Linked DNA regions of Canis lupus familiaris. The protein of the gene in region 6 purifies or fractionates together with the protein of the main gene of each other region. This does not show direct contact. Links are inferred from orthologs where the notes say so. Each region holds a gene or a part of one and is shown on either strand. Other genes may lie near its edges. The genes, in order: AKAP9, CDK5RAP2, PDE4DIPP2, AKAP1, AKAP11 and PRKAR2B.

Region 1 (4,931 bases), on a different chromosome or scaffold from region 6:
GGGCAATGTTCATTGAAATTGTAAAGTTACTGCATGTTCACATTAGGAGATGGTATTCTTTAACAAAACTCTACCTATAAACAAATATCTCAGCACCTTAAGTCCTGGAAAGAGAATACTCAGTGTGAGGGAGAAAACAAGTAGAGTGTCACCTGATCTGTCAAGTTTGTGCTAGTCAACACCACTAATTGAGAAAGATCTGTTTTGACTTTTTGTCTTTTTCCTTGAAGACTACAGTTTGAAACAGCAGATGATGAAGACTTCATTTGGGTTCAGGAAAATATTGATGAAATTATTTTACAACTGCAAAAATTAACCGGCCAGCCAGGGGAAGAGGTAAAACTTTTAAAAACTCTTTATAAGATATCAATAACAAAGATTTAATGGAGCTATGTGAATCATTTGAAACTGGCACTGTATTTTCTAAAGAGTTTTAATTTTGTCTTTTAATTTAAATATTAATATTTGTTCTTCCCTAACAGACAATAATGAAAATTTGAGGGGAAATTAATTTTCATTATCATTGTTGAATAACTATAGTGGCATTTTATTGTATTATGATAATTAAGTTTCAAGATTATGATAATCAAGTCTGGCTTATCTCACCACTCTCAAAACCACCCACAGAATGCCACCATTGTCTTCATAGTTAACTAATCTGATGAATCTTTTCATTCCCTGTCTTTTTAATTTTTTTGTAGCATTTGATACTTTTGACCTCTCTCATCTTAAAAACCTCCTTTTTTTACCTTTTGTGACAGTATATTCTCAGTATATTTTGTGACCGTATATTCTCAGTATATTTCTTCCATTTCTTTCATCAGTCACCTTCATGAATTCCTCTTCCTCCTATCCTGATCCATTTTTTTTCCTCTGTGAAAGCTCATTTATTCCCACAGCCTGAGTTCTCAGTAGACGTATTTATTGAACAAATACTTACATAAGGCATGTGTTATGTGCCAGTTACTACCCTGGGTTTTGGGCTACAATGAATAAATGTGATAACGATCTGACCACTTAGATCTCTATCTTCTAGTGGTCTGTGGTTCTAGTCTATACCTCTATCCTGTGATCCAGATTTATATTTTCCATTAGTTACAGGAACTCTTTCTCTGGGGAAATGCGCCTCATAGTGACCCCTTAGGAACCTCACAGGCACATTCTAAACTGAGCATCTTCTTTTTTTCCTCCTTCTGTCCCCAACCCATGTTTCTGGTCCTGATAGAGCCCACTTTGGGAATTTGGAAGTCACCCTAGACTACCTTCCTTCACTCTCACTTGTGTATCCTAGTAGTAATGAAGTCCTGTGCTTTTACTTCCTAAATATCCCACGTGCCCTTAGTCATTGCCTTTATTCAGGCTTCCAGTATTTCTCACCTAAACTATTGTAATGACTTCCTGATGTGTCCACCTGACACCAGGATCTATCTTCCCTAATTTACTGTACTTCGCATGCTGCTAGCAAAGGAATTTTTTTTAAGATTTTATTTATTTATTTATTTGAGAGAGCATGAGCAGGAGGTGGGCAGAGGGAGAGGGAGAGGGAGAAGCAGACTCTCTACTGAGCAGGGAGCCTGACACAGGCTCGATCCCAGGACTCTGGAATCATGACCCAACCCAAAGGCAGATGCTTAACTGACTGGGCCACTCATGTGCCCCCAAAGGAATATTTTAAGACATAAATTTTGTTTGTAGCACACTCTGAAAGCCTTTAGGGCTCTCTGCTGCCTCCATTTAGGTCTATTATCTATAAAGTGAAGGCAGCCTTTACTCTAACGTAACCAAGCAACCTGTAGCTCCTGAAAAGCAACACACTCTCCAACAAAACCCTTGTGCCTTTACACATGCTATTCCTTCTGCTTAATATGCTCTTCCCTATCTTCTTTCCTACCTATGAAATGCTTCCTAGTTATTTAAGACTCAGTTCAAGCACCACTTCATCATGAAATCTGGTGTTCTCAGCGTCTGCTCACATGTTGATGTGCATTGTTCATAAACATTTGTGCTTACACGACCTTAGTACCATTTTCTCTTTCTAGCCTGGTTTAGTGTCCCCTGGTACTTCTTGTGGCTCGTTGACTGAAAGACTGCTAAGACAAAATGCTGAGCTGACAGGACATATCAGCCAACTGACAGAAGAAAAGAATGATTTGAGAAATACAGTTATGAAGCTAGAAGAACAAATCAGGCGGTATCGACAGATAGGAGCTGGCAGAGATTATGTACGTCTGATTTTAGTGTGACCATGTTAGAAATATTGCTGAGTTACAATTTCTACTCTCTAGTTTCAATTTTTAACTCTAATATAAAAATATTAGATATCTGATTCTTAGTAAGATCATTGAAAAATGGTAGAGAGATGACAATAATAATGATAATAATAATAATAGATATCATTTATTGGGGGCCTTCTCTGGGCCAGATCCTGGGTTCTGTACATTCAGAATCTTTAATCCACATTCAGTCTTGCACATGAGAAAACTGAAGTCTGTAGTCCAATCAAGAACTGCTTATCTCCAAAGCCAGATACTTTGCTACCTAGGAACCACCAGTGGGTCCATGTTAAGAAATGTTCAAATGTGAATTCTGACTGTTCCTCATCAGTTAATTATCAGTTATTATGTTTGTGACTCAAGTGAAAGATGCCATTAAATTATTTATTTCAGTCTAATAAACCACTCTAGCAGTTTATTTAAAATTTTTTCCAGTTAAAAACTACAAAATAAATTGCTAGCTTCTGTAATATAAAGATAGGAATATAATATAAAGATAGAAAGGACTCCTGAGACAAATACAGGATAACACATCCACAGAGCTTCTGCATGGATCCACTTCCCTGTGTATAGCCGGGGATTTTTTTCCGCACTCCCCCAAGGCGCTGTTTCAGGGTTAGGCTCTACATTTGAACCCAGATGGTCGGTCTATTTATTAAGTCTCTAGACTTTATATTTCAAAGCTCTGCAAAAATCTAAGCACTGTCTTTTGGGTGAGGCTTCCATAAAGATTTTGTTTTAAAATTAATCTACTAAGCAAAGGACCATATACTTAATGTATATTCTTTACTATCAATTGAGATCGCTGTTGAACTCTCCCTCTCTGAGATTGGAAAGCTGAGATCCCATAGGGGATACCTTTAATGTGTTTAATTTAGATTTTTCTTCAGAGACTTATTCCTAAAACTCATGTAAGTGGGCTCTCGTTTCTGCAGTCTTCCAGGTTTTCATTCAGTGGTGGTGCCAGCATTGAAGCCATCATTGCTTCTGAAAAAGAAATCTGGAACAGAGAAAAGTTGACTCTCCAAAAATCCTTGAAAAGAGCAGAAGCTGAAGTGTATAAACTGAAAGCTGAACTAAGAAATGAAACTTTACTTCACAACCTGAGCCCTGATTCAGAGCATGCTGCTATAAAGGTAGGAGACATCTTCCATCTAAACATGTACCAAGGCTGGTCCTCTTGCCTTGTTTCATCTCTCACTAACCTTAACTGAACAGAGTAAAGAAATTTAGGTGGCGCTCAGGCTGCCTCTAGGTCTCTCACTATTCGATGTGCATCATGAGTACAGGCCTCCAGCTGGTCACAAAAACTTGGTGGCAAGGCATGCCGTACTGGCAGCACCGCGAGCTCACGGTCCTGCTTCCCACCATTTCATCCCTGAAGACCAACAGAAAGTTTCATTTCTACTGCCAACAAAAGCTCTACTACATTCAATACCAGAGCATCATGTTCTGTAAGATGGTAAACCCTCTGAACTGCCTTTCTCCTGACTAAAATGAATACTGTAGTTAAAACTGCTTTTAATCTGTTAACATAAAATCCAAAACAGAAAGAAACATGTTTGGAATATTTCTTTTAACTATGGAGTGAACATAAATTTATGCTTCTTGAAGAGACAGAGAACATTAACATTGAAAACTTTAAAGAAAAAAAAGATTAGCGACCGTAATAATAAAAGTAGCTCTACGCAGTTAGAGGAGAAAAAAACTGAGATAATAATGGAATGACAAAAATATTTGCAATGAATATGATGAATAGAGCCTAAACTCCAAAATGAAACCCCAAACCTAAGTATAAGGTTTGTAGTCACATTCCATGGACTAAAAAGAGGCAGAAATGTAAAATCTAAGGTTGATTATCTTTATCTTCAACTTTGCTGATCAAATGGAAAACAGTAGTAGGATATCTGCCATTCCACTACTAGTACTTTTGTAAAATAAAATCTATGTTATCTTCCCCTAGAGAACAATTTGAATGGCTTTTCAATAATGTCTTTATGTTCTTCCCCCCTTTTTTTTTAACATAGAGAATTTATGGTAAATACCTGAGGGCAGAAAGTTTTCGGAAAGCGCTCATTTATCAGAAGAAATACCTGCTGCTATTACTGGGTGGGTTTCAGGAATGTGAAGATGCCACCCTGGCTCTGCTGGCCCGGATGGGGGGACAGCCAGCCTTCACAGACCTAGAGGTGATCACCAATCGTCCAAGGGGCTTCACCAGGTTTCGGTCAGCCGTCAGAGTGTCCATGGCAATTTCTAGGTAAAGTGTTGGAAATAAAATGCATTTTAATAGAATCTGAAAGGATTTAGATTTTTAATCCTCTCCTTTCTCTGCCTAGTATGCTCCGTATTCATGTATATGAGACATTTATCATCAATAAAACATGCCGACTTCTTTCTTTCATTCTTGTAGCCAGGGATACCTTATATTGCACCATGAAGATCCTATAAAAAGGGCTTCCCAGGTGCAGGTAGCTAGTAACTCAGAGCTGGCACATCCCATCTGGATTGTGTTTTGGTTTTGTTTTATTTTTTAACTCTGAATAAGGCCATGAACTAGCTCAGACCTATAAATAAAAGGAATCACAAAAGGGAAAAAAATGTTTTTGAAAAATTACTTAGGCTACACATTCATTTTCTTCATTGCTAAAATAACCC
Region 2 (4,987 bases), on a different chromosome or scaffold from region 6:
CTCCGGCCACGCGAGGACCCAAGGGCACAGGCCTCGGGGTCAGCTGGGGACACGGGGACCGAGGGCAGCCGAGTGGACCCCCGAGGCCCGGGGTGCTGGGCCCTGCCTGTGGGCTGCGCTCCGGGGAGGGGCTGCAGCGAGGCCCCCACCCGCCTCCCCCAGGAGGCCCTCGCCCGAGTCGCGGGACCCGTCCAGGGGCACGCCACAGCTCCCCGTGTGTGGTCCGTCCTGGCCCCGGGCCTCGCTGGGCGGGGGGGCGCCTCTGTCCTGCAAACACTGGCGGGGGGGGCTGTCGCAGGCCCAGGAGGGACAGGAGGGGCAGGGAGCAGCGCAGTGGGCAGAGCCCGGAGGGAAAGCGCAGGGCCCTGGAGGGGAGAGGGGAGGGGGAAGGGCAGGGGGTTGGACAGGGGAGTGGGGAGAGAGGGCAGGGGAGCAGATGGGGTGAGGGGGGTGTGAGAACAGGGGAGGGGGCAGAGGACGGGGCCGCGGGGCAGGGCCAGCCGTTCTCCCACCGGTGGCAGCCCACGACCCAGGCACTGGGCAGAGACAGGGGGGTGGGGGGGCACGCGCCCACGGGGGAGGGGACCAGGCCTGTCCCCCCAGGACGGGTCTGACCCGGGTCACAAGGCCGCAAGTGGAAGGTGGCCGGAGCACGAGAGGTGGCAGCAGGGCTGGGCAAGGAGCGCCCCGCGGAGGGGCCGGGGTCCCAGGGGTCGGGGCCACTCCCTGTGCCGAGGGGCTGGTATCCCGGGGGGGTCAGGGCCGCTCCCTGTGCCGAGGGCTGAGCCCCACCGCGCTCACTGCTCGGGGACAGCGAGCAGCTCAGGACAAGGACGGGCCAGTCACACACAGAGGCTGCGGCCAACACGGGGCAGTGTAGGGACAGTGGGCTGGAGAGGCCGCCGCCCCCCGGGGACACCGTGACGAGTCTCCACGCCGGGCCTCACGTGGACCCTTCGTCCTAGGAGGCCATTGGGGCCTGCCCGGAGGTGATGCGCCCCCTGCGCAGGCCGGATGCAGGCACCGCCCGGCCACCCCACTCCTCGCCGGCCACGTGACTGGCCGACACCCCGGCCGCCCCCGCGGCTCAGGCCCGGGGCTCCAGGCGCTGCTGGGAATGAGCGCACCGCGGGGTTGCAGGGCCCCACGAGGACCTTGAGGCTGCAGAGCGGCTGAGCGCCGCGGGTGGGGCGGCCCGAGGCCCAGTGCGGAGCCCGACGGCACCCGAACGCCGGTGACGAGCCCCCTGAGGCCGGCCGCGGGACAGACGCCGCGAGGGGAGGCAGAGTCCTGCAGCCAGCGCCCGGGACCTGGAACCCACCCGGGGAACAAGCCACAGCGTCCGCTCGGCGGGAACCACAAGCTTTATTGGCAGGAGGTCTCAGGAGCCCGGTCGGCTGGGGCTGGACGTTCCAGGGTGGGCGCCCCCGGGCCTCAGCTGCGAAAAGGAGGAGAAAAGGAGAGTTTTAGGTCCAGCAGAGGGCTTCTGAGGCCGAGTGAACGCGCTTTCAGGGACACGCTGTTGGAGCAGGCAGCGCTCTCGGCACCAGCGGCAGCGACGCCTGCCATGCTCCCTCCTCTGAGGCGTGTGCCGTCCTCCCGGGGGGATCAGCAGCGCGACCGCGACCACCACCCCAGGCCTGAGCCGCGCCACCACGTGAAACTGTGCTGCCGGCGGAAAACAGCTGCTGGTGCAGGACTCGCACCTGGTCCCCTTTGGCCCCCGGTTCCTGACGAGGTCATCTGCTGGCCGGTGCCCCCGCCCCGGGCCCCCTTCCCTAAGGGACCCCGGGGGGCATTACCTCCAGGTTCCCTCTGGCCTTCCGAAGGACTTTGTGGGTTATGACCACTGAGGAGAGAGAGAGAGAGAGAGAGAGGGACGGTCAGACGGGTGCCCCGGGCGTCAGGCCCCCTGCGGACAAGCCTGGGGCGCCCAGACCGGAGGCGGAGGCGGGTGTGGGAGGCTCCACCCATCACGCGCGCCGAGACCACGTCGCCCACTGGGCCAGAGGCGCCTCCGCGAGTTCGTGCGAGGCCAGGACATCGCGGGTACCGGCCCGCTGCGGGCTCAGCAAGGCCTGCGGGCACCCGGGGACCCGGGTCACCCCTACGGGTTTGGGCGACGGTGCAGCGCAGGGCCCGTGGCTGACTCTGAGAAAACCCGTGCGCTAAGGGCCACGGCGAGGGCCGCAGAGGCAGGTCCCAGCGCAGAGCGGACGTGAATCTGCGCAAGGCCATGACCTTTGGGCCCTTTCTCCTTGGGCCCTGCAGCTGCTAGAACCCGACACACTCCCGGGATGCACTGTGGAGGGGCCCCAGGCCGCGGGTGCCACCTCCGCCCCAGACCCTCTTCTCGCCCAACACAGCCACCCCCCGGCCACTGGGAAGCCGCCCCTGCCGGGAACCCGGAATCCTGCCGTCCGGGTCCCCGAGACACCCTCAGGGCGGGACCACGCACGGCCTGGGGAAACGCTGGATTCCGGCCCGAGGAAACACATCTCCCGAGTGACGGTGTTGGCGAATCTGAGACACTGGGGCGGTGGGCGCTTGTTCAACCGGCCAGCCCTGCCTCCAGAGGGGCCACCGCCTGCGCCCCTGCAACCCCGCGAACCCTCGCCGCGGGCAGGGGCTGCTCCTCTCAGGACTCGCCCCACCGGGGACGTGGGGGGGGCAGAGCCCGGCCCTGGGGTCACGGCCCCTCCCCGGTGGGCTGTGGCCGAGGCCTGGAGGTAGACAGGGTGACACCGAGTTAGCGGCCACCCGCCACACACGGACCCCGTGCAAGCTCGGGAAGGGGGCCGAGACACCGGCCGTGTCTGTCGGGCACGTGCACCGCGGGGTCTGGGTGTCACCATCCGTCCGGACGAGAAGCGGGCAGTTCTTACAGAGTCGTGGTCAGGACCCAGGCCGGGGCAGCCGAGGCCTCCCAGCGACCCCCGCGTGTCGGGGACAGGACTCCGCAGCTCAGGAGGGAACGTCACTTACTGCAGGTCACACGGGGAGAGACCTGCACTGCGCTCGTTAACGGCACCAGGGTTGTGGCGAAGGGCCCAGGCCGGGCTCGGTGCTCTGGATCCCGGGAGCCCGCCCCTGACCCCGGCCAGCAGGTGCGTTAGCCCCGTGCGCCCGGACACAGGCCGCCGCAGTCCTAGGCCCCGGGGCCACTTCCACCCCCACCCCCGGGGTCTGGCCAAGGGCTCCACCACGGGTGCTCCACGATGGGTGCCGCCCCAGACGCCCGCCAGGCTCCTCAGGACACGCGTGCCGTGGGGCCCAGCCAGCGCCCAGGCCAGCCAGCACCCACGGGGCGGCCTCCGACCTCCTGCCACCATGAGGACGCCCCGCCTCCTGTGCCTCCTGGCCGTTCCCCCCCCCAGCCGCGGGGACCCTCCGAGACAGAGGGACTGCACCAGCCCGTGCCCTGCCCCCCACCCCCCTGCCCCGGTCCCACCAGGCGACTTGGCTTTGTCTCTCAGCAGGCCCCTTGGCACATCCTGAGTATGTTCCTGGCTCACCCCGAGGCCACCTGCCGCCATCTGTGCCCGCCCGCTCGCCCACGCCAACCCGCCCCTCCGGACCCGCGCAGTCGGACCCCAGGACATGGCCCTGCAGCCGGCTCTCATGTCAGCCCTGAAGCCAAGGCCCTGTGCTGGAGGGCGGCCCCCTCGCCTCTGTGCCAGGCCCGGCACGGGGCACGGAGCACAAAGTGAGTGCCCGCTGCACGACCCGGCGTCCAACCCTGCCAGGGTCACGGAGTCGGCTTCCAGAAGGTTCTGGGGGACAGCTGAGGGGAACCATGCCCACCAGCAGTCTATGCCCTGGGCTTCTCAGAAATGCCCCGAAACACCGGCCCCCGACAGGAGCGGCACAGGCAGCCTGGTGCCCCCGGAGCCGCGAGGGGCCACCACACAGCGAGTGGGCCCGGGCCGAGGTGGCCCACGGCTTCTCCGGGCACAGGGAGCGGCGGCCCACCACCCCGGCTCCCGGCAGGGACAGCGCTCGCCTTACCAGTGTCCCGTAGCCTCTCGGAGCCCGAGTCCCGGGTCCGCCTTTGAAGTATTTCTCAAGACCAGCCGGTCCCCCAGTCCCCCGGCCGGGGCCCTCCTCCTGGCCTGGCCGGGGGACCGGGGGCAGCCGAGCAGGCCCTTCCCGCACGCCAGCACCGCGGGGCTGCTCCCCGACGCCTCTCACGACGCAGTCCTGGCCAGTGACCCCCCCACCCGCCGCGCGGACCGCTCGAGGCTTCTCCCAGACATAGCCTGACGTGCTGCCCGTCGGCCCGTGTCCACGCCGCCCCCTCCGTCTGACCAACACCGCCCCTTCCGCGGGCTCCGCCCAGCTGTCCCTCTGTCCAAGAAGCCCACGCCCCCCCCACTTCCCTGCCCCTGTTCCCTACCACCCCGGCCAAGGTCACGTCAAGGTCCCGGTCAAGGCAGATGCCAGGCACCCGCCGCCCCAGCGAGAGGACCGCCCCTGGCACCACGTGGCCTGCACGGGGTCCGTTCAGTGCATCTATTTGCCCGTGCGGGTCAGAAAGGACGAGCTAGGACAGGAAACCCACAAACAGGAGGCACGATGACAGCTGCTGTGGGCCTCCCAGCGGGTGTCCAGCCCGGGGCTGTCGGGGCTCAGGGCGGCAAGTGGGCAGACACAGCGGCCCACCCCCAGCCGTCACTTACACTGATCAAAGATGACTTTTTCCTGGTGCTTGCTCAGCTGCAAGAGCTTCAGAGAGTTTTGCAACTTCTTTTCTTGTTCAAACAGCTTTTTGTGTAGTTTGGTGATCTCTGCCTTCATTTCTCCAGTCTCAAGAGAAAAGGAATTGGAAAAATGAGCAGAGAATACAAAACATCCTATCACGTGGGAAAGAATCAAGACACATAGAAAAAGACGCTCCCCCTCGCGCAGAGCGGCCCGTGAACGACAAGCAGGGCCCAGCTCCCGCGCCCCGACCTGCAGGACCCGCGCCGTCGGGAGCGCTGGGGAA
Region 3 (3,807 bases), on a different chromosome or scaffold from region 6:
CAAAGGGGGAGGGAGGTTATGTGCTGCCTTAAACATAGGATGTTGTTTCTTCCCTGGCATGTAAACAGGAGCAAGAACAGCAACAAGGTTGGTTCAAATCCTGGTTTAGTCATTCCCCCTGGCTCACTCTGAGAGCAACCTGGACCCATGATTGGGTCCATCCTTAGGTTCCTCTGAGAGGGGGAAATGTGGAGGCTGAGAAAATTAAGGCCATTCCACTTGAAGTTCAGCGTTAGCACAAGTACAGCCACCCCAGGCCCCTGTGAATAAGAGCTGAAGTTTACATTACTTCAGTTACAGGAAAAAAAAAAAAAAAAACAGTTTACAGCTTAAAGCCCTAGAAAGCCCTATTAGAATGAGAACAGAGCCCAAGCCAGTGGCAGAAAGTCCCATATTAGAATGAGAACAGAGCTTAACGCCCCTGAAAGCCCCATATCAGAATGTAAATAGAACTTGAGAAATTCCTCCTCCCCCCGCTTCTGGAGGTCCCCTAGACCATCCCATAAAACTAAGCTGAAACCCAGCTTGGTGTCCAAGTCCCTGCTCCGCTGTGTCGGGTACACTTGGACCCAAGCTCGAGCTTGTAAATAAACCCTCGTGTGTTTGCATCGGTGTCAGCTCCTTGGTGGTTTCTCCGATACGTAACCTTGGGCACAACAATCCATTCTGCTGATTGGGCCAGCGAGTTCCTCTATACTGACAACCAAAAGCCTTCATGGAAACACTTGAACAGCAGAGTGTGACAGCAGATGTGGGGTCACCCCATGGACTATCAGAGTAGGAGGCATCTCACCTGAGGTCTGACTCTTGTTGGATCTTTCTGTTACTGGTAATGGTGGTGTGAGGATAGTATTAGTGGGTTATGTTTGTGGTGATTGCCCAGGTTTGTAACTCTTTCTAGAAATAATTGTGGAGGGATAGCTTTATAGTAATCCTTAGAAGGTAAAGGTCATAAAACAGGACTCTTCCAAGGAATATTTGCAGATCTCTATGCCAACATTTATGGAGTGACTTACACACTTGTTAATCAAATGTCTTTGAGTAAAACAACTTTATTTATAGTCTTGGGTCAATGTGAAAGGACAAGTTTAAACTGTGGTCTGTAGCCCACCTGCATCACAATCACCTGGGGTATTGATGCAAGAAATGCAGATTCTGGGACCCTCACCAACTAAAACTCTTGGGATTGGAGCCCAGGAAGTGGCTCCTGTGATCTCCACTGCTGACTCTAAGACTCTCCAGATCTAAGAAGTACCCTCTAATATTTTCAGATTAAGGACTCTTAGAAAAAGACAAAGAAGGCAAGATGTCTCCTTTTAAATTTAGACTTCAAGCATTAGACTATGACCTTCATAGAGGCAGCGCATCTTTCATACTCTTACCAGCCTAGAGATTGGCACTGACGTTAGAAACAGAGCAGGTGCAGAAAAACGTTTTATTCTTTATACAGATTTTACTTTCATAGCCACCAGAAAGATTCTTTCATTTCCTCTGACAGACCCTGTCCACCTGTTATGTTGCCCTCCACATAGTGCTATAGTAACATACATAAATATCTATGGTACATTTATACACGCGTACATGCCTTCTAAAGCACTGCTAAGACACAGACTAGGCTTGCACACAATGGGGGCTTCTGAGGTGCCACTTAACGTGATCCCTGGTTTGTCTTACACAGGACTTTCAGTGAGCTTGGTCTGGCCGTGAGTCCTACTTGCCAGAGAGGAGTTAGGATGATGAAAAGAGACGGCATATTTAGAGTGAGGTCGCCACACTTTGGAGATCATAAGAGAATGGAAATAGGAGGTGCCAGGCTAAGCAGGAGATGGCAGGTGGGAAGCCACTGCTTTTACCAGGTGGATCAAAGCCCTCAGGTGCTGCAGTGTAGACTGATGCCCAGCCTGACAGTGTGGCCAGCTGACGTGGCCCCAGGTAAGGGTGGATCTGGGAGCAGTGCTGGCTGAGCCCCACTGGCCCCCAGGCACCTTTGTCACTTGTGTGCTGTGCTCTAGAACTGCTGAGGCGCTCCCATGTGGGGACCACATGTAGGAAGCAGGGTCCAGGCCCCCTGAGTTGACCATCTGAAGAAAGGTGCTGCAGTGAGAAATGGCTGCTGCGAGTTCCCAGGCCACGGTGGCCCTAGAAGCAGGGTCAGGAGCTCCTCTACAAACCCTGCATGTTTTTCTCAGTGCTGGGCTGAGCAGCCCCTGAAGGATGGTGTTCCTTAGCCCCAGGAAAGGCTGCCTTCCTTTCCCCCTCGTCCACTGGGCCATGCCTGACTCCTCCTGGACCCTCCAGCCAGTGCGGAGGAGTGGGGTCCAAGCCTCCTCAGCAGATTGGGACCTGCACAAAAGGGGGGCAGGCCCATCCTTCCTGCTGTTTGAAGGACCTCTGGGGGCTCCTCTTCTTGCGTGGCTCCTGGAAGGCAAGGGTCACAAGACTGGGGTGCTTGCCAGAGCCCTTAGGGACTTCACCTGGGAACAAAAATATAAGCTGAGAGCCCAGTATCAGGCCCTGCTGGTGGCTCCCTGAGCTGCAGTGAGCACTGGGCAGTGGCAGACCCAGGAGCTCTGTGAGAGCCTGTAGGGGGATGCACCCAGGGGCAGAGTGTGCTCCTGAGGATCCCCTGCTGCCACCAGGTCAGAGAGAAAGCTCCCCACCACCAGGGACAGGTGATGGCCCTGCTCAGAGCCATGATACACATAGTGCCCAGATCCCACACTCCCTCTTCAGGGGCCAGTTCCATCCCCAGTCACTTGGAGCAAAATGTTGCCTTCTGTGACCTCCCAGACAGAGAAGGGCTTGGTATGACACATCCACATGTAGTAACAGCCTATTGTAGGAAGGAGAGGACATTGTGCAGGGAGGTCCCCTGTTCAGTTCACACCCCATTTATTCATGAGGAGAGGAAGGGGCTGAGTCAGCAGGGAGCTCAGAACCCCCTGAGTCTAGTGCCCCCTCTTACAGATGAGGGGCCACCCAAAGCCTCAGGGACAGGGATTAGACACTGGGCCTTAGGTCCTTTCCATTGGTCTCTGGGAAGTGCAGAGGAAATGTCCAATCAAGGGGAAGCCAGTCCGTGTTTGGGGCTGTAGGGTTACCTTTGCTGGGGCAGGAATAAGGCTTTACAGAGGCCATCTTGTAAGTGTTCTTCTATAGAGGCTCAGGAAAGAAAGGAGTCAGCAGAGAAGAACAAAAGGGAGTTAACACCCAAAAAAAAAAAAAAAAAAAAAAGGAGAGTGAACTCATGTCCTGACCCATTTCATGCTGTGGGATCAACATTCTCTCAGGTTACAGTCAAGGAACCATCCTAGGAATAGGCCCCATTGCTCATGGCAGAGCTTTAAAGACCATGTGAAAGGTTTAGGTTCTGATTTGCAGGCCACCTGCTATTCATCATCAAACTTGCTAGGGAATGTATTAGTATTTTAAGGTAATGTACAGAATGCCTGCCATATGGTAACATGTCTCCTCAAGTTTCATTTTTATTTGTTACCAAATTCGCTTTTAGGTCAATAAGAACCAATGGTTTTCTTTGGAAAAAGTTGTATGAAAATTGAATTGCTCTTCTCAGCCTGATAGAGTATGCAGTGGAGCAACCGATTAGATTGCATCTTGTTTTCATGTGTTCATGAAGTGAATGAGAAGTGTTACGGGAAACCCTAGAGCTGGCCCCAACACCCCTTTCCTGGATGCTGATTCAGAGGCTGTCTCCCCATGTCCCCTGACCTTGAGAATCAACTCACTTGCTTTCCTCGGATTCCTGACTTGGCCTAAAGGAGGGAAGAAATGTAGAGAGGAGAGAAG
Region 4 (5,364 bases), on a different chromosome or scaffold from region 6:
ACCCCTCTGGTACTAGAAGTTGATCCTAAGGGTCCAGCAGTCCACCCTCCCCTTCACCTCTGGAGAGTCCAAGAATTGCCTATAAGGCAGAGGCCCACACTCCCAGCCTGGTTTTGGTCCTAGTTGATCCACACATCACCCGGACCCTGGCCCCCTGTGTCACTGCCCCCTGGCCTCCACCTCATCCATTCTTTTCTCAGACCTAGTTCACACTGAACACAGGACCCATCACTGGGGACACAGCACTGCTCTGCAGTTTGCCAGGACACCTCTACCACTCTCCCACCTAAAAACCCTCCCCCTCCTCGTCCCACCTGTTCACCAGAGACTCAGGCTCCAAGCCCCTAAACCCACCATCCACAGCTCTCTACAGTCAGCTAATCACACCTCAGGAAACAAGTTTCTTTTTTTTTTTTTTTTTTTAATTTTTTTTAAATTTTTATTTATTTATTTATGATAGTCACAGAGAGAGAGAGAGGCAGAGACACAGGCAGAGGGAGAAGCAGGCTCCATGCACCAGGAGCCCCATGCGGGATTCGATCCCGGGTCTCCAGGATCGCGCCCTGGGCCAAAGGCAGGCGCCAAACCGCTGCGCCACCCAGGGATCCCAGGAAACAAGTTTCTATACCATTTCTGAGCCAGATGTCTCCTGCTTTGTGGCACCAGGGCCCCCTAGGACGTGTTTATTAACATGGCTACCCTGAGGCCACGTCACCCAACCAAAAGAATACTGTATGCTGCACCTAGGTCCCCAGTGCCCACCACTCTCACTCGGCCTACAGCTTAGGAGCCAGGAGACAGTATCCCTGCTCCTCCAGGGAAACTGCTTTTCTCTATGAGGACCTACAGGTACAAGAACTGCCCAACTGAAGTGCTCCCCCAATCTGAGAAAAGAGGTGTAAGGATCCCCAGACAGGAGAAGGCGTGCTTTGTTTTCTTCCTTGCTACCTAGGGCCTGTGATTAGAGGTATTAGCCATCTCCACCAAAAACAGAGCCAAGAGCCCATATGATCAGCAGCTGCCCCCCACAAAGGAGTCCCGCTGCCTGGAGGTGCCTCTCAGGGAGCGCCAGGTGACCAAGCAGTCCCTCACTTCCTTAGCCCTTAACTTCCAAGGGTCTTACCCAGCCAATCTCACCTCAGTTAAAAGACTTCTGGTGAATTGATAAGGTGCCATGTGCCCCACTTTACATGGTCTGATAGGCCTAGACAGGGGCTGTGAGAGGCACCAACCTTTCCTGAATTCACAGACAGGGCCGCCTTCACCTGTGCATATACACATAGGCCCACATGTGCAGGTGTGCACACTTCAGCCTTATTAAGCTCTCTGCTACCTTCCTTCTCTGGAACAGACTCCTGAATTGCTCTCTTTGCCCTGGTTTTTGGTTTTCTGTAAAAAAAAAAAAAAAAAAACTGAACTTCTCCAGATCTGAGTGGCATTTAACACCATAGGTCTAAAAGCCTCACACTCACAAGCTAATTGAAGGCAGCCACCTCCCCCAGGGCCTCCCCCCTCCTGAGGCCCCAGACACTCAGGCAAGCCAGAGAAAAGCCTTGGAGAAGGATACAGCACCCTGCCTGAGGGTTGGTGGGGAGGAGACATGGCTATTTTGAATCTGTTGGAATTAAATAGCTGCCTGCTTATTTTTAGCAGGTCCATTTGCCCGGGAATAGATGCACGCTGGCTGGTTGCCCAGTGGTCACACAGAGCTGAAGGCAGGCACGTGCCGTGGCCCCACAAGGCCTTGAGGTTTACCTGCTCTGTCTGAGTTCTAAAAGGATTCCTTTCCTTTCTCCCAGAGGAACCTGCAGCTTCTCAGAAAAGCTTACCTCTGGAGAAGTAATGGCCTCACTCCCAGCACCGATGACCAGCCCAGTTACTGCAGTCTAGAGCCTTCTGCTAAACAAGAAAACAAATTTCTGGGAACAGTACAAACAGTGTTGGTCCCAGTGACTAAGCCCATTTGGCTGCAATTATTGTGGGAAAAAAGAGCTGCATGTAATTAATTGATGGGAAAGTTGATCATAAAAACAAGCACTTAGTAGCCAAGTGGCCATCAAGTCCACTGCGGACTTAGGCCTGGTCAGTGAAGTCACATCCACTCAGCATTCTGAATGGACTTTTCTATACCACCCCATCCCCACACCCCACACTCCTGGCAAGTTGAAATTTGAACATTTCCAATATTCCAGGGTTATGTGTTCACATTCCCAAAGACTGGCCCCTGGTGTTCAAGACACTCCATCTCTAGAATGCCCAGGACGTCAAGTTGTTCAGGGGCTTTTCCCCCTGAAGGGGGTCTTCAAAGGACAGGAACAGCTAACATGATCCAAGACCTGAAGCCCAGTATTTCCTACCACTGCATTCAGAGAACAGCAGGCTATGGGCCAGGTCAAGGTCCCCCCTCCCTTCTTCCATCCCATCCCCTCAACCCGCCCCACCAGTCTACTGAAGGAAGACCACAGAGGTCTGTGCAAGACCACAGAAGGGCCTCTTAGTTTCATAGGATGCTTTTACCTGATTCCTCATCAGGTTGAGGTTACGCACATACGTTCACTCACGTAATAATTCACACATAAATACGCTTAAGTTGCTGCAAGAAAAAGATTCTGTCCACCAGAAGCTCACAATGTGTACTGAATAATCTGTGTGTCTCTCACACACAGACCTGCACCAAACTGAGCCCAATATCAGAAGTAGGCAACAGAATCCAACTGCCTCAAAGGCACCAAGAATTTGCTCAGGTTGCAATGGTGGGTTAAAGACGTAAATTAAGGTTCTAAACCCAAGATGCCTTTGCGGGTGGAAGGGAGCAGCAAGTCCCAGACCAGAACAAGTCCTGGGAGTGAAGCTGAAGAGCTGGTAGGAGGCCAGATAAAAGGAGTTTGACCTTTACTGTCAAGGCAATGGGAACAAGTGGCAGCAACTGAAACATAGCCAAAGCAGAGCAGGTCACAAGAGGTAAAGGCCAGGGTGATCTCCAAGTGGCGACTACAGTCCAATATTGGCAACTACTTAGTCACAGGGGGCTAACTTGAAATGTGACCAGTGAAACTGAGAAACTGAATTTATATTTTATTTAATATTAATTGAAATAGCTACATAATGCTAGTGGCTACCTAAAGGATAGTATAGTCCTAGAGGGCCTTCCCAGCAGACCAGAAACAAACATAAGACCTAGATAAATGCTGTACAGCCAATGCCTACCTTGTTGGGTGGTATCTGGTGCTGCCACTGAGGGTGGGGGATGGTGGTAAGCTGGGCAATTCACCCTCAGCATGGCTGGGGCCCAGGAATCAGAGTGCTGGAGCCATGCCTCAGGGACGTTGGTCTCAGCCCAGCCCTGATGTTCAAACAGTTGTTACCTTCATCCATAGGGGGCCTGTGTGGGCTGTGACTCATGTTGGCACCCTAAAGATTCCAAATTAGCTCACAATGGGGCTGTGAAGTCCTCCCCATACTGTCCCCACATCCTTCATTGTGATGGCCCCACAGAGCAGCCAGGTGAGGCACCGTGGCCAGCCCATCCCCACTCCCGGTTAGGTAGATCAGCTGTCCAAAAGTCATAGAACGCTTCCCAGGCTCTTCTCCAGGAGACTGAGGGCTTAACCCAGTACCATCAGGGTGTGAGTACCTGCTCGGTGAAGTCTTCTCCAGGCAAAATGGAGACCCAGAGTCCAATCCCAGGAGCTCCAGGTAAGAAGAACCAGAAACAAAAAATCCCATCTCTGGACATGGTCTCAAATTAAGAATTGTTTCTCCTCTAATTCAATTACAAATTAAACTTCCAGTTTGGAAAACTTGGTAAAAAAGAGAACCCCCCACACAAAGGTGAAATGCCCAGTCTCCCTTGTTCTGCTGACCAAACACTGGGCAGGTCCAGTCTCATTAAGTTATAAAGAACAAGGCTGGGGGGGGCGGGGTGAGGGGTGGGAATCAGCATTTTCTACAAAGGTCTTCCCATTGCTTCAGTTAGGGAGTAGGAATGAGGTTTTCAAAAACCTTAATAAAAACCATGTCACATCCATCCCCAGCTCTTGGCAACCACATTGTTTTACCAGTAAATTCTGACAAATCTCTGAGGATAGTGATAAAGCAGGTACCAGGGAAGTGTTTCTAGGTACACAGAGTTTCCATCCATGACCACAGAACACTACTCATGACTGCCCAAAAGATAGGAAGTTGTGCTCTGTCAAAAAGCTTACCCAAAAAAGCTAATAAAGGTGACACATGCCTTCAGGAGAAATTAGAAGATGGTGTGAGGCAAGCAGCCCTTCACACCATCACCTCAGGTGGGCAGATCAACAGGTGAGATGCTGATTTTCCAAATGGCAGATGGTAGAATATGACCAACCCAAAAGTCACATAAAGGCCTAATGTCATTCCTATCCAACAAATACTTATGGACACCTATAGGGTACAAAGCACAGCAGGACACAGAAATGAATCAGAACGTACTTTCGAGGCACTTTCAAGTCTCACAATTTCTTTTTTTTTTTTTAAGATTTTATTCATTTATTCATGAGAGACAGACAGACAGAGAGAGAGAGGCAGAGACACAGGCAGAGGGAGAAGCAGGCTCCATGCAGGGAGCTCAATGTGGGACTCAATCCTGGAACTGCAGGATCTCACCCTGAGCCGAAGGCCGATGCCCACACTGAGCCACCCATGTGTCCCAATCAGTTTCTTTTTTTGGGGGGAAAAAAAAAACAATGACCTTCCTCAATGGGCTGTTGGTGCCACCCTTAGCCACTGACCAAGTGACAATTTTGGTCCAAGAGTCAGGCAAGTATCCTGGATGGGATGGGGGACAAACAGGAATTAGGCTGCCAGTTTCCACAGATTAGAATGTTCTAATGTCCTGGGATGGAAGAGGAGAGGTTATTAGCCTGAATGCCAGCACTGTGAGAGCTAAGAGGGCTTCAGTTATCCCATTCCATATGCACTTTCATTCCGTACCCATTTTTCTCACTACCTAATGCCCAAATCCAGATCTCCTCTCATTTAAACTATTTCATAAAGTGCAGCCAGATCTTCTGCTGGCATGGTGAAAGGGATGTGGGCACCTCATTGTCTTTGCTAACTTTCCACCAACCTTCTCATCTTTGGCACACCCCAAATTCATGCCTTCAAAAGGACTTGTCCTTGTGCATGAGTTAGCTTGCTTCTTGTCAGCTGCCTACCCTCCCCCACTTTTTCTCAGCAAGCTACTGAACGATGGGCTCCATCAAGACAAGGGAGCAAACCAAGAAAGGATGGGGCACCCTTCCACAAAGCAACACAAAAGAAGAGAAGACTGGATTCCCAGGATGAAGGGGAAGCAGGGACAGGGACAGGGATGCTTCCCAGAAGCAACATGAACAG
Region 5 (5,646 bases), on a different chromosome or scaffold from region 6:
AGTAGATAGTTGGCCCACAGGACTATCTTCCAGAAATTCAGAATTAAAATATAGAGACACCTGTTGAGGACCATGCTGCAAAAGCAGAGCGACCTGGCACCACGGCAAACCCAAGCTAGAGGGAAGCAGAAACCAAGAGCTTTAAAGAGAGCCAACTTAAAAGAAGTTAGAACACATATAACAGAGTCCAGAGTGGCAGAGACAAGACCATGTGTTCCCAGAGAAAAACTTAAAAGTAACTAATTGCCTAGAGATTTTCTAGTTCCCAGGATGCTGAGTTGGACTTCATGCAAGGGACTTCAGAGGCAGTCCTCCAACTGTTATGACAAATGCCTTTTTAAACTAAGTTCATTCAAATGGGTTTTTGACTCTCGCAGCCAAATAATCAAGCCATTAAAAGGGGCCAAAGGAAAAACACTGAATAAGCAGCTACTATATGCTTCAAAATATCTATGAGGTATCTGGACTCTCACCACCGGGGATGAGGAAATGGAGGCTCGTTTATATTAATAGATCTGCATGACTTCAAAGCCCAAACTCTATATTTTGCTTCATTTCCATTCAAGTTACATCCAATCTATTCCAGACCACCAGGCCATTTATCTTTTTTTTTTTCACGAAAAAAATCTCAGATTAATCCAAAAATGTTAACGTTTCTCCTTTTAACCTGTTGAGTCTCTATACACTTCAAACGCTTTCTCTAGTATTTAACAATAAAATGAACTTTTATATGCAAAGACGAGTAGAATAAAGACCTTCGGATCTTCTGGTCTGTTTCAAAACTGGTAATAGTATTTTTTCTTTCCTTTGCCTACTTTACCAGTTGACACATCCTCATGTCAAGCTCAAACTAAGTGTGGATCTCTTCCTGGCCTGTCCCATCCTCCGTCCAAGTGGGTGACTTTATTATTAAAATGCAGACCACCTGACAGAAAGAGAACAAATTCAGTTTGCCTAAAATATTATCCTACCCTAAACGACTTATTTTTTGAGAGTTTATTTTTAAGTAATTTCTACACCCAATGTGGGACTCCAATTTACAATCCCAAAATCAAGAGTCACATGCTCTAAAGACCGAGCCAGCCAGGTGCCCCACTTCAGTTACTTTTCAAAGGCAAGACAAATCAACAAATATCCACATGCTAAAAGCTTGAAACCCTTACCAAAAGGTTATAAAGACTAGCACAGAATTCGATTTTTCTGTCCTTGAAAATCAGTCTGCCACGATGGAATGGGAGGGAGCTTTGTAAAATTCAGACCTGTCTCTTTTGCCCATTCTCAAAAAAGACATTTCTTAAGTTTTTCATATTTTCCTTAAGTATTTAAAAGAATCCACTGCCTATTTATAAGCGGAAATTTCCCTATTTCCAGACAGTATGTTCCTGGAATTAAAAATAAAAATAAAAATAAAAATAAAAATAAAATAATAATAAATGTACTATCTTTCTTCTAGCCCCTACAGATAAAGGAGGATTTCTTTGGCTTCTAGATTTATCCCAGGAATTTAGAAGCTGAAGAAGCTCCCTTACTGTGGTGCAGGGTATTTAGCAAGTTCCCCATCACTAGCCTAGGAGTCTATCTCTAGGACCTTAGTTAGCAACAGTGCAATTACATGGGTACATTTATTAATCACTGGTCACCAGTTTAGCCTGGGAACCCATTTGTTCTGACTGCCTTACGTTCTTTGATCTCTCATAAAGTGCCCTGTTACTCACAGCCACAGCTAACAGCGAAATCCATTCTCAACCCTGGGGTTGCTTTGCCAGAAGGAACATAAGAAAGTAAGAAAATCCGTGGTACTACTTGCAAAAAAATAAAAAAAAGGTGACCAGACGTTTAACAAGATTCATTACTAATGCACTATTTTAACTCGACACTGATCGTGCTGGGAACCGTGCTGCCAACTGCTGCTCTCAAGTCCTAAACGAGACCTTAAAACCATCTTTGCATTCCTGAGTACCTTAGAATTCTTGAGTCCTCTCTATCTTCTGAGTATTTTGCAGGAATCTGATACTCAGATACTGAGTGTCAGAATCAGTATCAACCAGTGTCACTGTAACATCACCTCTAACAAGCGGTGGGAAGCAGCTTACGTGTTTTGCAAGGGGCTGGGTAACTGCGAAGCTGAAGAGAGATCCAGAATGCTTAACCCTGGTTTGCACTTAAGACCATTAGGTAATGCGTGTCAGCTCTATTTCTCAGCCTGAAATTTCCTTAACACCCTTAATTCCAAAACCGGCTCCGGCTGAATCAGGTTTGAGAACAGAGAGAGGGAGAGCACGAATTCACGAGCGCGCTCTGCGCACACCCCTGGTAGTGGTTTAGATCCTCCCCCTGCCGTTGCCATCTTACCAACGCTTTTAACACTTTGGGGTCACCCCCGCCTATGTGTGTGCAAAGCAGAGTAGGCAGGCGCCTGGAATAATAAAAAGTACGCCCAATCCATTCGCGACACGGAATGGCGAGGGCATCTAAACCGTTAACGACGAGCAGCCTCGGAGGACATCTGACAGCACGATGCAAACCATCCAGGCTCCGGGGAGCTGCTTGGCGCCTTCCGTTTCTGTCCCGCGATCTGGGCTGCGCCAGGTTCCAGGGCTCTGGGGTCCTGACACTGAAGGATGCTGCTCGGGGACAAAGTGCAACGTCCTCCACCTCCCCCTCCCCCTCCCCCTCCTCCTCCTCCACCTCCTCCTCCTCCTGCAAACGCTCCCGTGCGCACCCCACGGACACTGAGCTCCCGCACCGGAGCCCCGGCTCCGAGGACCACCCCGGGGATGCACACCGAGCTCGTCATTCGGCGGGGGGAGGGGAGGCTGCACCCGGGCCGCCCCAGTCCGGACCCCGGGGGACCCGTCTCGAGCCCAAGGACACCCCCTCCCCCCCCGACCCAGCGCCGCGGGCTTCCTCTCGCCGCCCAGCTCCTCCCGCCCTCCTCCCACCGCCGTGCGGCGGCGCAGCTCCGGGCAGCCCCGAAATCCGAGCGGGGGCTGCGGGCCGGGCCGCCCCTTGCACCCCGCCCCCGGGGCCAAGCGCGGCTCACGCTGCGGGAGGCTCCGCACACGCCTCACCTGGGGCCGCAGCCGCCGCAGCTCCCACGCATGTCACCGGCCCGCAACCACCAGCCTAGCGCGAGCCGCCGAGCGGCCGGGCGCCCCCCTCCCGCCCCGGCCCCCGGCCCTCCCCCCTCCCCGCCCCCGCCCTCGCCCTGCCCACCCCCGGCTTCCGCCGCCGCAGTTCCAAGCCCGCACCACCACCTAGTCCCCACGCCTCCCACTCATTCTCGCGAGAGGCCGCGGCGCCTCTCGCGAGAGAACAACTCGGTGGCCGAGCCCGCGCAAAAGTGGGTGGGCTTTTTAAAAAAAAAAAAAAACCTTCCCACGTGCTCTGGGGCCGCTCGCCGGCGGGGGCGGGGCGTGCGTCACGTGACGCCCAGGCGGCCTCCCTATTGGCCAGACTCCGCCCGGCCGTGGGAGCTTTAAACTCCAGGCTGACCTACGAACCTGCGGCGAACGTCATGCGCGCTTCCTGATCCGTTACCTTGGAAACGGCTTAACCCTTTCCTCCGGCAAGATGCTCAGGCGCTGGCCGGCCGCGCAGGTTTGGTCTCGGGCCCTTCCCGCGTTCCTTGCCCGCCCCCCCCACCGCGCCTTGGGCTCACCGCCGTGGGGTCAGCGGGGCTGGGCCCGCCGGGCCGTCTTCGGGGAGCGGGGGCTCTTCCCAGAGCGCAGCCCCGGCACCTCTGGCGGCCTAAGCGGGGCTCATCCTCTCGGCGTGGCTCCGCCCCTTCTCCCCGGCATCGCGGGCGGGGGGGGGGGAGGACCACTCAGCGCTGCAGGCCGCCGGCCCTCCCCGAACCTCAGCGAGGAGCATCGCGGGCTCTCCGGGCCCTAGTGCTCACCCTTCCCGACGTCCGCGGTGTCGGACTCGGGAAGTCAAGCGTGGGTCCCCGCGGGGCCCCCGAGCCGCGCACGATCACCTAACTGTTATTTGCGTTTAGGACCGGGAAGGCCTAGTCCGGGCGAGTTGCACAGCCTCCTCGGCGGACCTCTCATCCAGGCGGGAAGTCCCCGGAGGATGCGGAAGACGTTTGGAACTTGGCATCCTCGTGATGAGGAGTCCTAACCCCTGTTTGGGAGATGGGGGGTCAAAGGGTGCAACCCTCGTGCATCCCATTTCTGCATTGGGCGGGCTGCTGCAGATGTCAGGCACGGCTCCAGGCCGTGGATTGAGCAGCGATGGGGGCAGAGGAGTCTGGGTGCTTACGGGGGAGGAAGGGGAGAAGGACAACAAATGTTGGGGGGCGTCAAGCTCAATGCAAGGAAAATCACAACAGTCGATGCTGCGATGGTGATGGTGATGATTGGGCGGCTGCTGGAGGGGCGGGCCTTTGGAGGACACGCGGAAGCCGTGGTTTGCTTCAACCGCCAGGCTGACGTCGGATGGAAGAGCGTTCCAGGCAAAGTGAAGAGCGAATTCAAAGGCCTTGCATTGGGTTTGATGGGGGGGGGGGGGGGGGGGGGGGGAATAGGAGAAAGTAAGAAGAAATAAGCTTGGAGAAGTAAGCAAACATAGGCCGCATCCTGTAAGGCTTTGTAAGCTGAGGAAGGAATTGTTGAGGATTTAAATGCAACAGAGAGCGATGGAGAATTCTTTTTTTTTTTTCTTTTAAGATTTTATTTATTTATTCATGAGACACAGGCAGAGGGAGAAGCAGGCTCCATGCAGGGAGCCCGACGTGGGACTCGATCCAGGAACTCCAGGACCAGGCCCTAGAATTCTAAAGAGGGGAGGGGGCACCTATGCTCTACCCTTTTTGTCTCTAAAAGTCTTCCCTGCAGAGAATGGAATTTTTTTTTTTTTTTTAAGGAGGTCACAGAGGAAGCAAGGAGATTGAGACTAGTAGTCCCAACACGGACACAATCCTGAAAGGCCTAATTTTCCAATGACCTTGACATTCCTTTTCTTAGAATCCATTAGGTCAGAGCCATGGTGCCCGGCTGCTGCCTTTTGTTAAAAGCATCTGGATGCATCTTCAGTTACTGCTGTTTAATAAGAGAAATGAGTGGAAACTTTTTTGTTACTTGGGAAAATGAATGTCCCAAAAGGAAAGTCATTATTGATTGATTGATTGATTTTTCTCTATGGACACCACACAGATAACTACCTCTTCTATCTATTCCTAAAGTCAGTTCTATGAAAAAAAAAAACAACAACAACATAAAGTCATGTTCGGTGCAGATATTTATTTCCTAATTATAAGATGTGAAAAGATAGAGGTTGAAGGTTTAGGATATGAAAATGTTTCACTAAAAGAATCAGAAATCAGGAGACTGTATTGCCACCGGAAGATCTCTCATTAACTGGTAAAGTGACCAAATCAAGGTTCCTTATCATTCCTGAGTGTCAGCTTCCTTCATACATAAAACAAGACAATTTAACTAGCTTACACACAGAGTGGTTAAGCCTGAATTACACTTTGGCATGCACGCATCAGTAAGACGGAAGCTGGAAAGGGAAATGAAATTTTTGTAAAATCTAAGAGTCAGCAGCGCAAGCCAAATGAAATTGGATGCCCCTACTCTTGCGTGTGTGTGCACGCACACACACACACACACACACACACACCCCAGCTGAGGAACTATG
Region 6 (4,931 bases):
GGGTCTCCCATACACCCCTACAGTTAAATACGGTGGAACAGCTGAAGGAATTTCACCAATGAAAGCTGTCAGAGATTCCAAAATCAAGGCTTTAATTTACATATGGGACAATGGGGGAGGGGGGGGCTGTGCTAAAATCAGAGGGCTCACCTGAAGCCCCTGCCAATAGCTCTACGAGGTCACCACGGCATTAGGGACGAGGGAAGGGAGGACTCAGAGAGAACCCTGCACGCAGAGAGCGTGCATGACTGCTGATGTAGGAGAGACGACAACCACAGAGCCAAGTCAAGAAATGAGGCTGCGCAGACAGATGGGGTGTGATTTCCCGCATGGCTCAGAGCTGAGTACAACTCCACCCAGAGAAGCAAATGCAACCCAGGGAATCCGGCTGAGAGACGACCTGTGTGGCACCCATAATGGGAGGGGCCGGGGGTGCCGACTGTCTCATGGACACTTCAGCATCACTTCACAGAAGTGAAGAAATAAAGCCTCTGTTCAGACCGCTCCCCTGGTACAGTTTGGGGCTCTTAACCTAATTATCGCTTAAAGCACACTGTGCTTTGACAAAGTAAAGCACAACGCAGGTTTTCTGAAATCACATTTTTCAATATAGTGTATGCCTTCTCATTTAAATAAAATAATTTCTCTACAATGTTTCAAAATAACTTCTCTATAATGTTTTTAATGCACAAGAATGCATAAACAATTTCTGGAAACAGCATAAACTCCCCTCTCTACCATGCGCATGCTTTACTTTATAGTTAATGAAAAAAGAACAGACTGAGTTATATGATTCAACACCCCAGATGCTGTGCGCTGCTTGCCTTCGAAGTGTAGCAGGCATCCTCTCAAGCCAAAGTTAATAAGTGAGGCAGCTCACAGTAAATGATTGAGATTTATAGATCGAACTAACCAAAATCCTCCTTTCTTCTATAAACTATGCCTCTTTCCATGATCTAATGTGGTTTCACCACACGTATTCCCAGCGGGCTTCCTGTGCCTTTTATACAGTAACGAGAATAAAGAGGGAACAGTGAATATTAAAAGCTAGTGAATATTAAAGAGGTAACAGCAACTATCGAATATTAATCTGCCAGTTGTTATAAGAACCACTGAGATTCTACAGGGATGGTTCCTTACATTTCAGCAGTGAGGTTACGCGAAACTTACCTATCGATCACGTAAAAGTTGTCACCATCATCGCCTTGATCAATTACATGCTCTCCTTCTTTGACCAGTTTTTCAAACATGGCATCTAACACTTGAGACATCTGTTCCTATTTTTTAAAGAGAAAAGATACAATCTTTATGTTTGTCTACGATATGTTCTCTTGACTGTAATCAGCTTTGTATTTCTGTGAACCAGCTCAAAGAAAAAGAAATATCATCACTGCCATTAAGTCTTGTCAAAAAAAAAAAAATACACAGTGCAGTTGTCCTTACCACCTAACAAAGGAGATTATAGATTTCCTTTCATATTCAGTACCTGAATGAAAGTAATTATAATTAGCTACTTCAGAATATTTCAGTGCAACGATCACCCAGTTTAATATATTGAAAAATGAACCACCAAACCACCACAGACCTTATACATGAAATAGAATCTTGGCAACTAAAATGACCAGGTTCGTAATGAACTACTGCAAATATCTTTTAAAGATAACTGTTTTTAAAACTTCCCTATGAAAAAAAAATAAAAAATATAAAAAAATAAAACTTCCCTATGTTTAGTCATCACTAGGATTTATGTAGGGATTACCTAAGTACTTAGTGAATCCAAATTCTGCCTCCAATCCTTTTGGTTGAGCACTAAAAACAAAACAACAGAACAGGAAAAACAAAACAAAACATATGCAAACCCAAAAATGATGGCAAATTTGAAACACTATTCTTTATCATGACGGTTCTCTTTAAGAAGCAACCATTCACCACCCTAGGACAGATTTATTAAAACAGAAGCCAGAAACATAAAACCTATTCTTCAACAACTACTTAAGTTACATAAAATTTTTATTCTGCTGAAGCGTGGTTGACAAGGCTTAAGGATAAACTCCAGCTGGTGAGAATAAACTAGAAGGTGAAGAACAAACAAATCTTTCCGCAGAACAAATACAGGAACAATTCAAAGGCCCTCGAATACACAAAAGAGCTCGGTGTTTCTCAAACTGGGTTTTGTGGAACCCAGGGATTTCATGGAGGTGCTTCAGTGATTGATTCAGCTCATTTAATTGCCCCCTTAAAGTGTATGTGAGCCATTAAATATGAAAACTAATGGAAATCAAAATGCTCAGATGAATTATATATACACAGTTTTTTCATGAGGTTGAATTTCTCATAAAATTAACCACGGTTGAGTGAACGATTCAGTGGCCACAAAATTGTGCCACTACCACTTACTTCTTAGTTATAAAGCATTTTCATCACCTCAAAAGGAAGCCTTGTGCCCACCAAGTAGGCATTTTGCGATTCTCTCCTCCCGCTGGCCCTTGGCACCACCTACCTATTTTGTGTCTCTATGGATTCCCCTAATCTGGATATTTCACACAACACAATCATACAACATGACCTTCTGCATCTGCCTTATTTCACTCAGCATTTTGAGGTTCATCCTTGTTCTAGATATATCCCAACTTCTTCTTCTTTATAGATGAATAATATTCCACTGTAAACATACCACGATTGGTTTATCCATTCATCCATCACTGGACGCTTAGATTGTTTCCACCTTTTGGCTATTTATGAATGTTTATGTCAACTCTTCTGGGTTAACCCTAGGAGGGGAACTACTTGAGTCATACGGTAATTCTAGGTTTAACTTCTGAGCAACTGCCAAGCAGTTTTCCACAGCGCCTAAACAGTTTTCTTTCCCACCAGCAATGTACTAGGATTCCAATTTCTCCACATCCTCACCAACACTTGTTATGTTTCCTTCTTAAAAAAAAAAAAATTATTCCCACCCTATTGGTGCTGGGCTGGTACTTCATTGTGGTTTCAGGATTGGCAATTCCCTAATGACTAGCCATGTTGAGAATCTTTTCATGTACTTACTGGTAACTCGTGTATCTTTTTTGGAGAAATGTCTATATTCAAGTATTTTGACCAATTTTAAGTTGGGTTGTTATTTTGTTGTTGAGTTGTAAGAGTTCTTTATGTATTTTGGATACTAGGCCCTTATATGTAGGATTTCCCACATATTTTCTCCCATTTGTAGATGTCTTTCACTTTTTTCAATATCGTTCTTTGATGCACAAAATTTTTATTTTTTATGAAGTCCAACTTCTTTTCTTTTCATATTCCTGTTTTTGGTGTCTACCCAAGAATCCACTGCTAAATCCAAGGTCATGAAGACTTACCCTTGTGGGTTTTTTTTTTTTTAAGAGTTTTTATAGTTTGGGAGCTCACATTTAGGTCCTGGATCCATTTTGAGTTCATTTTTGTGTACAGTGTAAAGGAGGGATCCAACTTGGTTCCCAATTGTCCCAGGACCATTTGTTGAAGAGACTTTTCTTTCCCCATTGAGTGGTCTTGGCACTCTCATCAGAAATCAAATGAATATCAAATTAAACATATAAATCAAATGTATAGGTTTGTTTCTAGACTCTTAATTCTATTCCATTGTTCTATGCATCTGCCCATGCTATTAACACATTGTTTTTATTCCTCGTGCTCTGTAGTAAAAGTTTTTTTAAAAAGATTTATTTATTTTTAGAGAGAAAGAAGAGAGGGGCAGAAGAAGAGAATCTCAAGCAGACTCCCGCTGAGCATGGAGCCTGACGTGGCGCTTGATCTCACAGCCCCGAGATCACAACCTGAGCTAAAACCAAGAGTTGTATGCTTAACCGACGGTGCTACCCAGACACCCCTGTAGTAAAAGTTTTGAAATTAGCAAGTGTGAGTCCTCCGACTTTGCTCTCCTTTTTCAATATTATTTTGATGCTGTGGGCCCTCCTTGGCTATGTTTGCAATTTTTATAAATTAGACAACAGCAAAAGGTTAATGTGTCTTCCTGGTTTTGCTTTATAATACATGAATGTTAGTAATCTCAACCTTTATAAACTAATACAATAATTTTTAAAAGAATACAAAACCTCTATAAATACGGCTATATTGTTAAGTAAAAAGAAGAATGAGGCAGGACACTGTGGAAAGTTTGCTGCCACTGAAACTTAAAAAACAATATACTGCTCTGTAAATCACATGACCCTGGAGAAATACCCATGAGAATGCTCTAAGCACGTGGCTCCTGAGAAGCTGGGTTGCTGGAAGGCAGGGGTACAAAGGGGATTTCCTTTCCCCGACTCCTCTTTTGTTCTTTTTGGATTTTTATAAATTGTATAGGCACACAGACTTAAAACTTTTCATTAAAAACCCCAGCTCTGGGCAGCCCAGGTAGCTCAGTGGTTCAGCGCCTGCCATCAGCTCAGGGCATGATCCTGGAGACCCGGGATTGAGTCCCATGTCCGGCTCCCTGCATGGAGCTTGCTTCTCCCTCTGCCTGTGTCTCGGCTTCTCTGTCTCTCTCATGAATAAATAAAATAAAATCTTAAAAAAAAAAAGAAAACAACAAAAAACCCCAGCTCTCCATTTAAACAGAAAACATACTATTGCATCTTCACATTGGCTAAGCAAAGCTTCTGGAGGAACGATGGTGGCGAGTCCTGCAGGAAGTGGTTTTTATCCCCTCCCTGGGTCCCTGCGTGAGCTCTGACACCTACTTGTGAAACAGGAGCCCCTGCAGAAGACGAAGCCAATGTGACCGTGAAGCATTGCTGTCTGCATGTGGTGCTAATTGGCCCCACAGGGACCATTTTATCCAAATGAGTTCATCAACTAGGCAGCATATGGTCACCTATCAAAATTATGAAGTTTGATTAAATGGTTTACTAATATTTTGTTTCACTTACTATTCATATTTAAACTCTTTTAGGCCA

The links.
Region 1: the proteins of PRKAR2B (region 6) and AKAP9 purify together in Homo sapiens (affinity purification with mass spectrometry; 3 studies listed by BioGRID and IntAct, counting the BioPlex papers as one, with this or other methods). This does not show direct contact. The link is inferred for Canis lupus familiaris from reciprocal best matches to the Homo sapiens genes PRKAR2B and AKAP9.
Region 2: the proteins of PRKAR2B (region 6) and CDK5RAP2 purify together in Homo sapiens (affinity purification with mass spectrometry; 3 studies listed by BioGRID and IntAct, counting the BioPlex papers as one, with this or other methods). This does not show direct contact. The link is inferred for Canis lupus familiaris from reciprocal best matches to the Homo sapiens genes PRKAR2B and CDK5RAP2.
Region 3: the proteins of PRKAR2B (region 6) and PDE4DIPP2 purify together in Homo sapiens (affinity purification with mass spectrometry; 4 studies listed by BioGRID and IntAct, counting the BioPlex papers as one, with this or other methods). This does not show direct contact. The link is inferred for Canis lupus familiaris from reciprocal best matches to the Homo sapiens genes PRKAR2B and PDE4DIP.
Region 4: the proteins of PRKAR2B (region 6) and AKAP1 purify together in Homo sapiens (affinity purification with mass spectrometry; 3 studies listed by BioGRID and IntAct, counting the BioPlex papers as one, with this or other methods). This does not show direct contact. The link is inferred for Canis lupus familiaris from reciprocal best matches to the Homo sapiens genes PRKAR2B and AKAP1.
Region 5: the proteins of PRKAR2B (region 6) and AKAP11 purify together in Homo sapiens (affinity purification with mass spectrometry; 3 studies listed by BioGRID and IntAct, counting the BioPlex papers as one, with this or other methods). This does not show direct contact. The link is inferred for Canis lupus familiaris from reciprocal best matches to the Homo sapiens genes PRKAR2B and AKAP11.

What each region holds. Positions count from the first base shown.
Region 1 is NC_049235.1:17,682,219-17,687,149, forward strand, and holds part of AKAP9 (A-kinase anchor protein 9), read left to right. Parts: intron 1-230; coding exon 231-336; intron 337-2,039; coding exon 2,040-2,222; intron 2,223-3,208; coding exon 3,209-3,409; intron 3,410-4,300; coding exon 4,301-4,533; intron 4,534-4,931. UniProt on the Homo sapiens protein: Scaffolding protein that assembles several protein kinases and phosphatases on the centrosome and Golgi apparatus. Required to maintain the integrity of the Golgi apparatus. Required for microtubule nucleation at the cis-side of the Golgi apparatus.
Region 2 is NC_049232.1:73,961,294-73,966,280, forward strand, and holds the end of CDK5RAP2 (CDK5 regulatory subunit-associated protein 2), read right to left. Parts: intron 4,807-4,987; coding exon 4,680-4,806; intron 1,850-4,679; coding exon 1,803-1,849; intron 1,439-1,802; coding exon 1,382-1,438; 3' UTR 1,342-1,381; downstream 1-1,341. UniProt on the Homo sapiens protein: Potential regulator of CDK5 activity via its interaction with CDK5R1. Negative regulator of centriole disengagement (licensing) which maintains centriole engagement and cohesion. Involved in regulation of mitotic spindle orientation.
Region 3 is NC_049238.1:57,944,235-57,948,041, reverse strand, and holds the end of PDE4DIPP2 (myomegalin), read right to left. Parts: intron 3,774-3,807; coding exon 3,747-3,773; intron 3,181-3,746; coding exon of another isoform or gene 3,154-3,180; coding exon 3,102-3,153; exon of another isoform or gene 3,096-3,101; intron 2,475-3,095; coding exon of another isoform or gene 2,419-2,474; coding exon 2,225-2,418; 3' UTR 1,035-2,224; downstream 1-1,034. UniProt on the Homo sapiens protein: Functions as an anchor sequestering components of the cAMP-dependent pathway to Golgi and/or centrosomes.
Region 4 is NC_049230.1:31,842,329-31,847,692, reverse strand, and holds the start of AKAP1 (A-kinase anchor protein 1, mitochondrial), read right to left. Parts: upstream 3,396-5,364; 5' UTR 3,208-3,395; intron 1,920-3,207; exon of another isoform or gene 1,900-1,919; 5' UTR 1,830-1,899; intron 1,390-1,829; 5' UTR 1,282-1,389; coding exon 1,138-1,281; intron 1-1,137.
Region 5 is NC_049243.1:8,485,951-8,491,596, forward strand, and holds the start of AKAP11 (A-kinase anchor protein 11), read right to left. Parts: upstream 3,799-5,646; 5' UTR 3,662-3,798; intron 3,601-3,661; coding exon of another isoform or gene 3,457-3,600; intron 3,186-3,456; exon of another isoform or gene 3,132-3,185; coding exon of another isoform or gene 2,778-3,131; intron 2,625-2,777; exon of another isoform or gene 2,353-2,624; intron 1-2,352. Other genes in the region: atherin-like, read left to right, coding at 2,778-3,131, 3,457-3,600, 4,001-4,354. UniProt on the Homo sapiens protein: Binds to type II regulatory subunits of protein kinase A and anchors/targets them.
Region 6 is NC_049239.1:13,675,794-13,680,724, forward strand, and holds part of PRKAR2B (cAMP-dependent protein kinase type II-beta regulatory subunit), read right to left. Parts: intron 1,278-4,931; coding exon 1,171-1,277; intron 1-1,170. UniProt on the Homo sapiens protein: Regulatory subunit of the cAMP-dependent protein kinases involved in cAMP signaling in cells. Type II regulatory chains mediate membrane association by binding to anchoring proteins, including the MAP2 kinase.